Linked DNA regions of Arabidopsis thaliana. The protein of the gene in region 1 interacts with the protein of each later gene in a pairwise test. Each region holds a gene or a part of one and is shown in the gene's direction. Other genes may lie near its edges. The genes, in order: NAC004 and AT5G44260.

Region 1 (7,195 bases):
GTTATAATATCCATATTTGCATCATTGAAAAACAAACAGTATCACAACTATGGGTCTGACTGGTAGTCTTCTATAGAAGAAAAATAGTGAGAAGAAAAAGAATTCTTCTGTGTTGTACTTAAATGTAACCAGTCAGATAAAAAGTAATTGGTTTTGTTTCTTCCCAATTCTTCAAAAAGCAATAAAAAGTAATTGGTTTTGTTTCTTCCCAATTCTTCAAAAAGCAACGTGAAAAGGAAGAATTCATCCCACTTCAAATACATGAGAGAGAAAATTCTTCTGCTTTTTGCTTTTTCTTTTCTTCACTTTTCTTCGTTTATTTTTCATCTCATTTCGTCCATTTTTTATCAGTCACACCCTATATAAGTAAGAAAATGGTATAGCATTTTTCAAGTTGAAGTGGTTCTTCTACTCCGCAGATGTGTGTATGTAGAGCTGAGGAATTTATGAATGTATATGTAAGCGCCCCTCTTTTTTTTTGTCTTTTGTAATTTAATATTCACATTGTATTGTATGCTATGTTCCATACTCGGCAAATCCTTATATTTGTGGCTGGTTCTTTTTATTTACGACTTCTACGAAGTTTCCTATATACAAATTTCAATGTGGTTTACTTTTTGTGATCTTATATAAGCTTCAAGATAAATTAACCATTGACGTTAACGTTAGGAGTAACTGTCACATCACATGACTAAGCGCACTTTGACTTAAGTGGGTAGGGTATCAAGAAGATGATCTGGTAGGAAAGAAATTATGTGACCCAACATCTGCATTATGGGGTCCAAAACCTGTCCGTAAAATAGTTGACGAAATCTACCAAGGATCTCAATTTTTTTTTTTTTTTTTTTTTTTAGGATCTCCTTTATTGTGCCTTATATAAGCGCACAAACCCATCTTGCCTGCTTAGAGCATGACCAGCGGTAGTTTTTTAAATTTGGTTCTCAACAGTTAAGATATGCTTTAAATCCCTTTGTTGGACTTGCTCTTATGATATAAACTTGTAGACGAGCGGGCGAAGAGCGACCATAGAGAAAGCTCTCTACTTCATATTTTGATATCTTTCCCTCTCTTAGTTTTGATCTGAACCTTTTTGTAGCTGTTGAAAAATGGCGAATCCGGTGGGTTTTAGATTCCGTCCGACTGACGGGGAGATCGTCGACATTTACCTCCGACCGAAAAATCTCGAAAGTAACACGAGCCATGTCGATGAAGTCATTAGCACAGTTGATATTTGTAGCTTCGACCCTTGGGACTTACCTTGTAAGTCTTTCTAACGCGAGTGTTTGTTTTTCTTTGGTTCCCAACTGTTGTATCATCCCGGTAATTTCTGATCATGTTCTGTCTTTCCCAGCCCATTCTAGGATGAAAACAAGAGATCAGGTTTGGTATTTCTTCGGCCGTAAGGAGAACAAATATGGTAAAGGTGATCGACAGATAAGAAAAACCAAGTCTGGTTTTTGGAAGAAAACTGGCGTTACCATGGATATAATGCGCAAAACGGGAGATCGTGAGAAGATCGGTGAGAAAAGGGTTTTGGTGTTTAAGAATCACGGTGGTTCCAAGTCCGATTGGGCTATGCATGAGTATCACGCTACGTTCTCGTCTCCTAATCAGGTCATTTTTCGATTCTCTTGTTTAGGCTTCTTTAACTTGTTGTTGTTGTTTTCTTACCGTGATTTTATTTCTCGTAAACGGGAAAAATCTGAGTTTATGGTAATCATTTATGCTGAGTTGATCTGTAGATAATGACATACACACTCTGCAAAGTTAAGTTTAAGGGTGAAAGGAGAGAATTTTCAGTTGCTACTGGTAGTGGAATTAAGCATACTCACTCTTTAATCCCTCCTACCAACAATTCTGGAGTTTTGAGTGTAGAGACAGAGGTGAGTCAATCTCAAAAACTTTCCCTGTTTCTCTTTTAAATCTTCAAAATCATATCTCGTACACATAGTTTTTTCATCTGTGTTACGTTGTTCCTTTTTTCAGGGATCGTTGTTTCACAGCCAAGAATCACAGAATCCAAGTCAGTTTTCTGGCTTTCTTGATGTGGATGCACTAGATAGGGACTTCTGCAATATTTTGAGTGATGATTTCAAAGGCTTCTTTAATGATGACGATGAGCAGAGTAAGATTGTTTCTATGCAAGATGATCGCAACAACCACACACCTCAAAAGCCATTGACCGGTGTCTTCAGTGATCATAGCACCGATGGTAGTGATTCTGATCCGATTTCTGCAACAACTGTAAGCAAAATTTTCCTATTTTACCTTTACTATCTCCTCTGTTTTCAGTTTTTTCTCACAAAGCTATAGTTTTGTTTAATACGACAGATTTCCATTCAAACTTTAAGCACTTGTCCTAGTTTTGGTAGCTCAAATCCTCTATACCAAATCACTGACTTGCAGGAATCTCCTAACTCAATCAAGTTAGTGTCATTAGCTCAAGAGGTGAGCTTTATCATCTCCTTTTCTTAAAGACCAACCATTCTAAACTGCTAATTAACCAAGCTACTTTGTGCCAGTACTCACAGCATTTTGGGTTCTATGATGTGATTTAAGGTGAGCAAAACACCGGGAACCGGTATTGATAATGATGCACAAGGGACTGAGATTGGTGAGCATAAATTGGGTCAAGAGACGATCAAGAACAAAAGAGCTGGTTTCTTTCACAGGATGATACAAAAATTCGTCAAGAAAATTCACCTAAGAACATGATATCAATTTTGTACTTTCCAAAATCTGTAGTAGTATGTAATATGTGTCTATCTGGTTTTGTAACTTTTACACATTGTATGTGTGCCCTGAGATATATTAAAATATAATGGTGAATTTGTGATAAGATGTGGTTAGAGGAAAGAAAGATGTATCACTTCATTTGATTCAACTAACAAAATGGTCAAACCACATCTTTTTTTTTTTTTTGGTAGTAACGTGACATAATAACTCCCATAATTATGTATTGTTTTGTTTTATTTTAGAATCCCCGAAAAATATTCGGATTTTCCCTCCTTTTTAATGGAAGAAAACTAGAGATACAATATGGATATCAAAAGCTGTAGCAATCAACCTAACAAAATAGACAATTTTTCGTAGCAATCAACCTCTACTCATCTAGTCAGCTAGTCCTACTTAACCCCACAAAAGATTTCGTTCAACAAAATAAAATAACAGTATCATCAAATCAAAGATGCTTTAATCTTAATTCTAGCAATGTCACGAGTCTCTTTTGGACTTTTATAGATGTGTGCCACGCGAATATCTTGTCATGTTAGATGTTTAAGCCCAAAACCCGCCATTAGACTAATCATAACTTTTATTTTATTTGAACGTCTTAACGGTCGTCATCATTCAATTTGATAAATTTTATCTTTCTTTACCAGTTGTTTTATTATTTTCCACGTTACCGACTTTTAAAAAAAGTGATTTTACTATGTATTTACTATAAAACGTGTTAAAAATTATACTAAATCGGAATGTGAAAATGTCATTAATCCGGTAAAATAAAACGGAATGAAAAAGAGTATTTAGAGAATTTGTCAGAAAGTGTAAACAAATAAAACAAGTGTGTGGGGATTGGAAAAATCATGGTGGGGTCATTAGGATAAGTGCCAGCCGCCGCCATGTGAACTTGGTGTGATGTGTCCTGCTTTCATCATACATGACGTCATCCACTTAGTGGGTCCCATCATCTGGTCATAGTTGACGTCACTTACTCCCGTCACAGCCTTTTTATAAAAAATTATAAACACACACTTCGTCTTCCTCCTAAAAACAAAAAAACTCACACATAACTTGCAGAGCATCGTTAATGGCGAAACCTCTCTGCTACATATTTTGACTTTTTCTCACCAATTTTGTCTTTTATCTGAAACTTTAGTCGCTCTCGGACAATGATGAATCCGGTGGGTTTCAGATTCCGTCCAAACGACGAGGAGATCGTCGACCATTACCTCCGGCCAAAAAATCTCGATAGTGACACTAGCCATGTCGATGAAGTCATTAGCACAGTCGATATCTGTAGCTTCGAGCCTTGGGATTTACCTTGTAAGTCGAGTTATTTTTTCCCAAACTGTTGTATCGAATTCGAAATCATTTGCTCTGATTTCCTCTCCCTCTTTTTTCACAGCCAAGTCGATGATCAAATCGAGAGATGGGGTTTGGTATTTCTTTAGTGTTAAGGAGATGAAGTATAACAGAGGTGATCAACAGAGAAGAAGAACAAACTCTGGGTTTTGGAAGAAAACTGGAAAAACAATGACTGTCATGCGCAAAAGAGGAAATCGTGAGAAGATCGGTGAGAAAAGGGTTTTGGTTTTTAAGAATCGAGATGGTTCAAAGACCGACTGGGTTATGCACGAGTATCACGCTACGTCCTTGTTTCCTAATCAGGTAATTTTTCAATTCCAAACTTTTAGGGTTTTTTGTTGTTGATTGACCTAATTCCAGATTCCTAGGGTTTTTTCTATCTCTCTTGTTAATTGACCTAATTCTGGTGTTTTGTGGTGGTGATCGTGTTTTGATTTGATTATTTGTACAGATGATGACGTATACAGTCTGCAAAGTTGAGTTTAAGGGTGAAGAGACAGAGATCTCTTCTTCTTCTACTGGTAGTGAAATTGAACAGATTCACTCTTTAATCCCTCTTGTGAACAGTTCTGGAGGATCTGAGGTGGGAGAATCTCAAACTTTCTCTGTTTTGTCTTTAGAAACTTTGAAATATCTGACATTAGTGTTCCTCCCCTTTTTCAGGGTTCGTCGTTTCACAGCCAAGAATTACAGAATTCAAGTCAGTCTGGTGTCTTTGCTAATGTGCAGGGAGAATCTCAAATCGATGATGCAACTACACCGATTGAGGAGGAATGGAAAACATGGTTGAATAATGATGGTGATGAGCAGAGGAATATCATGTTTATGCAAGATCATCGCAGCGATTACACACCTCTAAAGTCGTTAACTGGTGTCTTCAGTGATGATAGCAGTGATGATAATGATTCTGATTTGATATCTCCTAAAACAGTAAGCAAAATTTTACTCTGCATCTTGATAATCCTCTGTTTTCAGATTTGACATCAGAAAGCTAAAGTTTTTGTTTCATATGACAGAATTCTATTGGAACTTCGAGCACTTGTGCTAGTTTTGCTAGCTCAAATCATCAGATAGACCAAACTCAACATTCTCCTGACTCAACAGTCCAGCTAGTGTCATTAACTCAAGAGGTGAGATTTATTATCTCATTTAACTCTAAATGCTAATCATGTTACTTTGTTAATTTCACCACTCACAACATTGAGACCAGATTAGAGAAATTATTTAAATGGTTGGTTCTTTAATATATTTTGCAGGTGAGCCAAGGTCCGGGTCAAGTGACTGTGATTCGAGAGCATAAATTGGGTGAAGAGTCTGTCAAGAAGAAAAGAGCTAGTTTCGTTTACAGGATGATACACAGATTAGTCAAGAAAATTCACCAATGTTATTCTATCTCAAGAACATGATAACAATAGATGAGACCAAGAACACCTTTTAGTACTTTTCCAAATTTGTAGAAATATAAGTTATGTCTATCTTGTTTTGTAAACTTTGATCAGATTGTGTGACTTCATGTATGTACTCTCTCTATATAAAAAGGGTGGATTTGTGATACGAAGTTGTTAGAGAAGATAAAGTTGTATGAATTCAATTAATACAACTACCAAAATGTTATGTCTATCCTTTTTTGTGTAAAATTTCCCTATTTTATGTTGGTCCAATATATAAAAACGGTAAATTTGTGATGAGAAGTCCGAGAAGAGAAAGTTGGATAATTTTCAATTCATACACGATACAACTAATAAAATGGTCACTTTCTTTGACAAAAGATGAAAATGATCACAATCAACCTTGAGGCTATAGTCCTACCTAATCCCCACAAAAGATGTCAGGTTCTCAACAAAAGGAAACAAGGATAATATCAAATCAAGATGCTTCGATTTTAATAATGTCAAGAGTTTTCTATAAGACTTTTAGTCTACATCTTACGTGCAGCATATTGTCACTTTTATCTTTGAGTCCAAACCCCATTTGACTGATGCTAACTTTTTGTTTTCTTCCTCATTTTGAGATTTTTTATTTTATTAACAAATAATGAACAAGATTCTTTGGCTAAATACAACCAATCCAAATCAAAATCATTTCAGCAAACTGTTACCAAACATTTCTCTAAAATTTAAAAAAAAAACAAAAAAAAAAACATTTTCTCTAAATCTGAAAGAATATTTTATGGCCAGAAAATATTATGGCCTTAGTTGAAAGTTGAAACTGTGCCTTGGTTGAAAAGTATGCACGGCGCGTGTAATTAAAATGCTTCCACGTGGCCCAATTAGCTCACATATTTTAGATTTGGTCGTTGTTGGTGTTTGGTAACATGTCCTGGCCCACCACTACTTCACTGTTCAATTAATTAATGAAAATCCTAAATTGCAACTTGCTAATACTTTAGCTTTACTACTCCTTGGTAACTCTTATAACGAACTAATAAGCTGTATTTAGCAAAAAAAATTACTAAGTAGGAGGAGGAGTATTTGGTTGGAGCTGTCTAGTTCTTTTATCTACGCCTCCTACGAAGTTTCCTATATACAAAATCATTATATGTGGTTTACATTTTTACATCGTTTGCTTCGACATAAATAATGAACTATCGAATTTAACAGAGCAAAAATAGAAAAAAAAATGTGGGATTAACAGCGTAACTGTCACATGATAAGTGCAATAATTATATGTCAGTCTTTTGATTAATGTATATTTTAAAAACTTGCAACTTGCAAATACTCTTTTCCCCTCTTTTTTATATTAAAACTAAAATATAAACCTTTTCTATGCCATCCTGCAAGGCAGATTTGGGCACTATCACAAATTCCTACGGCCCCAAGGATTTTTCCTTCGAATTCAATTTTTACGAATTTGGATCATTTGTTTTGGAGAATTCCTTCAGGCGTCGATTCGGCTTCTTACCCATGGATAATTTGGTATATATGGAAAGCAAGAAATGAAAAAGTTTTTGAAAATGTGGATAAAGATCCAATGGAAATATTGCTCTTATCGGTAAAAGAGGCTCAATCGTGGCAGGAAGCTCAAGTCGAGCTCCATAGTGAAAAACATGGTTCCTTGTCTATAGATAGTCGAATTCGGGTGAGGGATGTATCACAAGATACAACTTTTT
Region 2 (7,073 bases), on another chromosome or scaffold:
CTTACAGGACGAACTCTCTGAGATGTCACAAACTCTGAATTCTTTCGCCTTTTTAGTGTCATCGGCAGACGCAATGCACCTTTATGTTCTCTGTCCGGGTTTGCTTAGTGACTGAAGGGCAGAAGTTGAAGCTCGTGTTAACAAGTCCTTGTTTTTTCTTGTGAGGCAAAGTTGTTGGTTTTAGGTTCAGAATCTAGTGACATCAACGGTCGGATTAACACATACAGTGAGATAGTGAAACAAGTATTGCAGTTTGAGTTGACTAACTTGTCTGGATTTACCTCCCATCATCAAGCTTTTGCCTTTTGATGGCTTCACCTGTCTTGATTTAGAGTTATGCAAAACAAGCAAGATAGTACAGTCTCTAGATTTACAGTCTCTAAATAATAATGATAATAAGGTGAGCCATCAAATAGAGGTAAAATATTTTGTATTACTTTTTAATCTTTTGTTTACTCACAATTACAACAATCTAAATGAAACCAGATTCAAACTTTATTCTATATAAAACTTTATTCTATATAAAACTGACACTTAAATGACAATAAAATGTAAATTTAGTAATGGTAGGACGATTTTTGCTTCTCACAAAGATCAAATAAAAAGAAAATTCACATGTACATATTACGAGTATAAGAAAATATTAACTACCCTTTAGAAATGGTCAGCCTCGGTAGAAACGCACCGAAGTACTTTAGAGTGGACTTCTCCACGAAGGACCACCACACTGTCTGTCCCGAGTTTGGAATGCTTTCCGACTAATGCCAGAGAGTAGTCAGGCCGCATGCATTTCTGACTACCAGGTAAACTAATTGGGCCAAGGCCCAACTGACAAACTTCCCAAACAAATGTGATTTTTGTTTCCATAGAGGATCGAACTCGGGTCTGGAAGTTTTACCCTTCCCCAAATCTTCTCTTACCACTGGACCACAAATGCTTGGGCGAGTAGCTATTAATTATCCTCCTGTTAGGTTTATTCCTGAGTTTTGTTTGATAAAATAAAATAAAAACCTAGGTTCATTCGATTTGTATTATTGTTCTCATTGGTATTTACGTATACGATGACACAACCATCAACAACAACAAAAACTCATGAAATAAGCATGATCACTAATACTGAACTACTATGTACAAATTAGTCTAAGGTTGGTCTCATTGTGTATATCAATTAATTCGAAGTCTAGAAATGGATACACACACCACTAAATTAGTCGCGATTTCACTTCTACTGCTTCTCGTGATCTCCGATTACACTAGGCTAATGATTCAGGTTCACTCGTACGTACCATTTTGTGCATACACATATGATTACTTTTCTTATTGTCTAGACTTTCTCACGGGATATTACTACAAACCCGGTAAAAAATGTTGTGTCCATATCGTAAAACTTAACATAATTGCGAAACACAAAAAAGAGAACCCGAGGCTTTTGTGTAATTGTGTTGAGATGATGACGAGAGGTTATACGCCTCCAATGTTGGCTGATAAGATCCAACAGCTTCCTCTTCTTTGCAACACACATCTCAGTTTCCCTATCTCCTCTAGCATGGATTGCTCCACGTAAGTTTATAAACATTAAATTTTACTTTAAGTGGAGAAAGATTCGAGATTGGTTTGGGTTTTGATTTAAGATGATCTTTTTTATATAAACTAGTTATGTTGTTGTGTTGTATATTCAAAACTATTAATAATGTAGCATGTGTTTGGTTTTATGCAGGGTTTAAAGTCTTGAGGGGTTGTGTGGGCCAGTTTGCTTTGGGGTGTTCAAGAAATATGGTTCTATGTGTATGGGTATTCAATTTTGGTCTTGTTTATATTAGTTTGGTTCTTTTTTTTCTCCAGATTTTGACTATTTTGGTTTAGAGAATGTGGCAGCCACATTTTAAAAGTTGAATCTAGCATATATTTGTGTCATTTTCGTTAGATTTCGAATTCAGTTTTCTTACAAAAAAAGTATATCTTTATACTAGTATACTTCCAACAAATTTGAAGTATTGATTTAGATAATTTCCACTTTTAATACAATGCTGAAGGGACACTTGATGACTTGAATGAAAGATTTCTTCTCAATTTCTTTTTGTTGTCTTATCTGTTATTTAAAATTTTAAATAGACTTTTTAGCTAATGATTTATTCATAAAAAAAAATTTGGATTGGACAACTAATCAATAAATTTTAAAATAAGCAAAATGTGCAGTAACAAAAATAAAATAAATGTATAAAACATATCGATTTTAAAACAAAATATCATATATATGCGTTATTTCTTCATAACTATGCGTGTTTAAAACAATTGTCCTTAAGAAAAGAGTAACCGATTGGAAGGAAAAACCAAAGGATCTTCGTTTCCATGCGAGCCACGTAACCAATAAAGAGATCCACCCTTGTTTAACACCTCAAACCTGTTAAGACTAATCACAATGTTCGAAGATAATGCCATTTCTATATATATTTAGTATAGCATCACACATGCGTTCTGTGTTGCAAAGTTTACTCTAGAGTTATCACTGAGTCATGACTCATGATGACCATTATTATAGTATTAGTACTTTTAAGTTTTAGGTCGAGAATATGAAGCTAATACATGCATGTAATGATGTAAATATGCCTACCTTAAAAAATATCGAATTATTCAGAAACAATGACTCGATATCCGTAAGAAACCGCCAGCTCCTGCTGAATTGCATGAACCTATCTTAATATTCTTTCGCCACGAACTCTTCCCTTTTGTCTCCTTCTTATAACTCTACACATCATCATTTCTTTTCCACTAAATAACTTACAATACGTATACCTTTTTCTTTTTTGTCAATTTAAATCAACACTAAGATATACTTTAAATACGAATCATTTAAATGAATATAATGTACTAATTGTTTCAGATTTTATTTCCTGTTTAAAAATATACTCATGAACTAAAACTAATTAATAAAATGTGGATAAATTAAAGCCTTTTAACAAAAAAAAAATGTGGATAAATTAATATCAATATGTTTCCTTTTTATTTTATTTTATCTATTTCAAAAAAATAAGTTATTCAATACATATGTTGATATTTTGACTATTTTTAATCATAATTTAAATCAATTGTTGTGTTCTTAAGCAAAATATCTAAAAACGAATATAACCACGTCCACCATAGAAGCACTGCAATTTTAGCATTCTAAAACATCCTTGATATTTTTTTGTCAACGTCTTATTATCTTTTATCTCAAACCATGTATATGGATGTATCCACTAACGCATATATATAGAGACAATTAGGCATCTATCATTTTATCCCACACTTATCTCTTCCTATCTCTCTCTCATTCAAACCCAAATAGGAAACAAATACACAAAAGTATAATAAAAAGTCTTTCTCTCATCTTTCGCCACGTAGACATGGACGTCGAACATCACAAATCCGGCCACATCAGTAGACCAACGGTGGATATTCCACCGAGGAAGCTTCTTTCCTCCGCCAAGTCTCCGTCGTCAGTTTCAAGTCCCCTTCGCGACTATAAAGAACAGAAAGACTATTGTTACGACTCTGACTCTGAGGATCCTTACGCTGGAGACCATTTCCGGATGTACGAATTCAAGATCCGACGGTGCACGCGTAGCCGTAGCCATGACTGGACCGACTGTCCTTTCTCTCATCCCGGTGAAAAGGCTCGTCGCCGTGACCCTCGCCGGTTTCACTACACCGGAGAAGTATGCCCTGAGTTTAGCCGTCACGGTGATTGTAGCCGTGGTGATGAATGCGGTTTCGCTCACGGGGTTTTCGAGTGTTGGCTTCATCCGAGTCGTTACCGTACGGAAGCTTGTAAAGACGGTAAGCATTGTAAGAGGAAAGTTTGTTTCTTTGCTCATTCTCCACGTCAGCTGAGAGTTCTTCCACCGTCCCCGGAGAATCATATTTCCGGTGGTTGCGGTGGATCACCGTCGTCATCCCCTGCATCGGTTTTAAGCAATAAAAATAATCGATGTTGCTTGTTTTGTTCCCATTCTCCGACGAGTACTCTCTTGAATTTATCACGATCACCTTCATCGTCTCCGCCTTTGTCTCCAGCTGATAAAGCCGATGCATTTTCACGGCTGAGCCGCCGTCGCACCGCCGTACTAAACGAACTGATTAGTTCTTTAGATTCCTTAAGTCTCACGGAAGCACTTGCAGCTTCTTCATCGTCTCCCGTTACCATGCCCATTTCCACGGCGACGATGATCGCTTCATCGAATCTAAGCAGCAACCACCACCACCACCGTCTTCCGCCGTGGCTTGATGTCGGAGACAGAGATCTCCAATTACAACAGAGTAGTCCTCTACGATTTGCTCTTTCACCTTCTTCAACTCCAAGTTACCTCCATGGCCAGCTTCAGCCACCACCGTCGAGCTTCTTTGGCGATGAATTCACACCACGTGGTGGCCGGCTAAGCGATTTCTCGGTGGCTGCAGCTGCGGCGGCCCAAGCTAGGGATAAAAATAGCTTTGAAGTCGGTTCTAGTGGCGATCTTGATCTAGGATGGGTGAACGATCTTTTGACATGAACAGTATGACATCAACTGTGAACTACTTGAGATCTTTCCCGACGGGAATAATTATACGGCGGCGCCGCGGCGGAGGTCCGTCGTGGTACATTGTTTATTAAAAAAGTATTTACGATTTTTTCCACGAGAGCTAATTAAGAGTCTGTAGTACTATGTCGTGCTTTAAAAATATATTTTTACTGTATTTTTTGTTAAATAAGAGAGTCCATAACTTCTATTGTTATATTGATCTCTTGGAACTTGTAATATCTACTACATTGTGATCGAATTCCTATGTAATGTTTACTTCAAAATATTCTGTTTAATAGAAAATGATGATGTAGTTATATGCCTACAGTACTTTTCATTAATGTCCACAATCATTACTATAAGAAAATTGATTCTTAATTAATTACATAGATTTAAATCGGTACATCAAAGAATTGTATATGCTCTATATTTGTGCTATTAAGCAAGTGAAACATTAACATTGTAATTGTAACATAACATTATGTCCCTCGAGTCGAGTATATATATAGTGGAGAATAACGTTATTGTTAGGTTTCGTTGGTTGATTGTGGAGCAAATATGCTATTCCTATCATATACTAGTTACTACAAAATCTTAAAATCTTCATTTTTATGACACTAGAACTTAAAAAGTCCGATAATAATAATATAATTTCCCCACTCCGAGAGCACTTGTTTCCTAGGAGACATACTTATCTGAACGACAGCTGTACATGCATAGAGATAGAGGTGTACATTACTCATATAGATATGGTATAATTAGGTATAATATATATACAATTATACATGTGTATATATGTACATGTGATCATGTGCATGTATATACATAAATAGATAAACATAATAGCAAATATACAAAAGCAAAGTATGTCGGGGTGTGGAGGTGTCACGTGGACCGGATGACCCACCAATACTTAGTTCCCATTCTCATCTCGATGGGTCGATGAGTCCTTTAGATGTCTCCTTGGAGACATATTTCACCATCATGCATTATATGTATTTACATATGTTTTTGGAGAAAGGACCGTGGGCCAATTACACCATAAAATGGACCCTAATAAGCTTGGATTTAAATATTATGGTACATGGAACTCTAACCATTTACTTCTTGTTGAAGAGTTTGGTGCATGCATGTACCTTTAACTTCCCATCTTTTTTCTTGATTTTTCTTTTGGAGTGTTCACTCTTTGAGATGTGAGAGTGAGGACCACGTACGTACGGTACTACGGTAGATGAATAATACAATGTGAAGAGAGTTATAAAAAAAAAAAAAAAAAAAAAAAAAAAAAAAAAAAAAAAAATTTATCTCTTATGTTCTTGAAGTGTCGAATTTTCAGGGATTTTTTCAGCTCTACAATTCCGATCCATTAGCTTCATGGTTTTTGAAACCCCATGTAATATAGAAAACTCCACAATCCAATAATTCAACACAAACAAGTAAATTAACACACGAGAAATCTGTATAATCCATTAATCAAAAGTTCAAAACAACGTTCATAAAATGCAGATTCAATCATCAAGCTAGCTCTCAAGATGAAAGAAACCCAACCAAATATCCAAGGAAGATCATTATAGCAGAGTTCACAAGTTTAGAGATGATGCGATAATGATGAAATGAGCTAAACACATGCTCTTTATATGCAGCTAATAGCTTGAATTCAAAGTAACAACACCATATTTTCCCTTTCTTGCAATGATATAGCTACCACATCGACTTTGGATTCCCCTTGTAAATACGATAGATGAACTGGTGGAGCTTTCCATAAACCGCCTCAAAAGGTGTCAAGTGAGTGGCAGTGAGATAATTTGTATTGTACCAATACTCAATTAACGCCAACCACTTACTCCACAAAAAGCAGTTGAGTATTGCACAAATACCGCAAGTAAGTTTCCAAGCATCTATTGACCACTTCCGTCAGGCCATCACACTGTGGATGTAGCACTTGACATCTTCAAAGTCATGCTCTATAGTGTAAAAAACTCTTGCCAGAACTCACTAGTAAACACCTTATATATCTCCGTCACTAACTATAGATTTGGGACGACCATGAAGTTTGTAAACATTATCCAAATAATGATGAGCTATTGTCATCGCATTATAAGGATGAGACCAAATATAAACTGAGAAGCCTTGCTCAGCCTATCCACAACAACCATAATCATAGACTTACCATGAGAAACTGGCAATCCATCAATAAAATTTATCGATAGATCATGTAGGTGTTTTATTTACCTATTGTAAAAATACATAACTTATCATTAGAGTAGACTATTTTTTATGGCAAAGCAAAAAGAATTTAGAGATTTTGTTTTGTCTTCTAACCAATGTTAAAAGTAATTGTTTTTTTATTGCTAGAATTATTGTAGATTTGTTTATGAAAAAAAAAAAAATCGCGAGATTAATTACTGTCATTATGAACTTTTTTTGAGTAAAGATTGAGAAAAATTTGGTAGGCCATATTGAAGAGGGGATAGACGATCGCCAATTTGGTTCAATCATTTTTGCCGTGAAAATCTTTAATGGTGTTTGTTATAG

What was found.
Region 2: the proteins of NAC004 (region 1) and AT5G44260 interact in a two-hybrid assay, tested with the Arabidopsis thaliana proteins (one large-scale study listed by BioGRID).

The regions. Positions count from the first base shown.
Region 1 is NC_003070.9:433,471-440,665, reverse strand, and holds NAC004 (NAC domain containing protein 4), read left to right. Parts: upstream 1-3,743; 5' UTR 3,744-3,890; coding exon 3,891-4,044; intron 4,045-4,126; coding exon 4,127-4,389; intron 4,390-4,537; coding exon 4,538-4,669; intron 4,670-4,749; coding exon 4,750-5,016; intron 5,017-5,102; coding exon 5,103-5,216; intron 5,217-5,342; coding exon 5,343-5,492; 3' UTR 5,493-5,701; downstream 5,702-7,195. Other genes in the region: NAC005 (NAC domain containing protein 5), read left to right, coding at 1,107-1,260, 1,352-1,614, 1,743-1,883, 1,987-2,244, 2,332-2,448, 2,560-2,715.
Region 2 is NC_003076.8:17,827,430-17,834,502, reverse strand, and holds AT5G44260 (Zinc finger C-x8-C-x5-C-x3-H type family protein), read left to right. Parts: upstream 1-3,166; 5' UTR 3,167-3,383; coding exon 3,384-4,529; 3' UTR 4,530-4,885; downstream 4,886-7,073. Other genes in the region: AT5G44270 (TPX2 (targeting protein for Xklp2) protein family), read right to left, coding at 6-103, 282-379, 686-867; AT5G44265 (Bifunctional inhibitor/lipid-transfer protein/seed storage 2S albumin superfamily protein), read left to right, coding at 1,187-1,560, 1,718-1,724.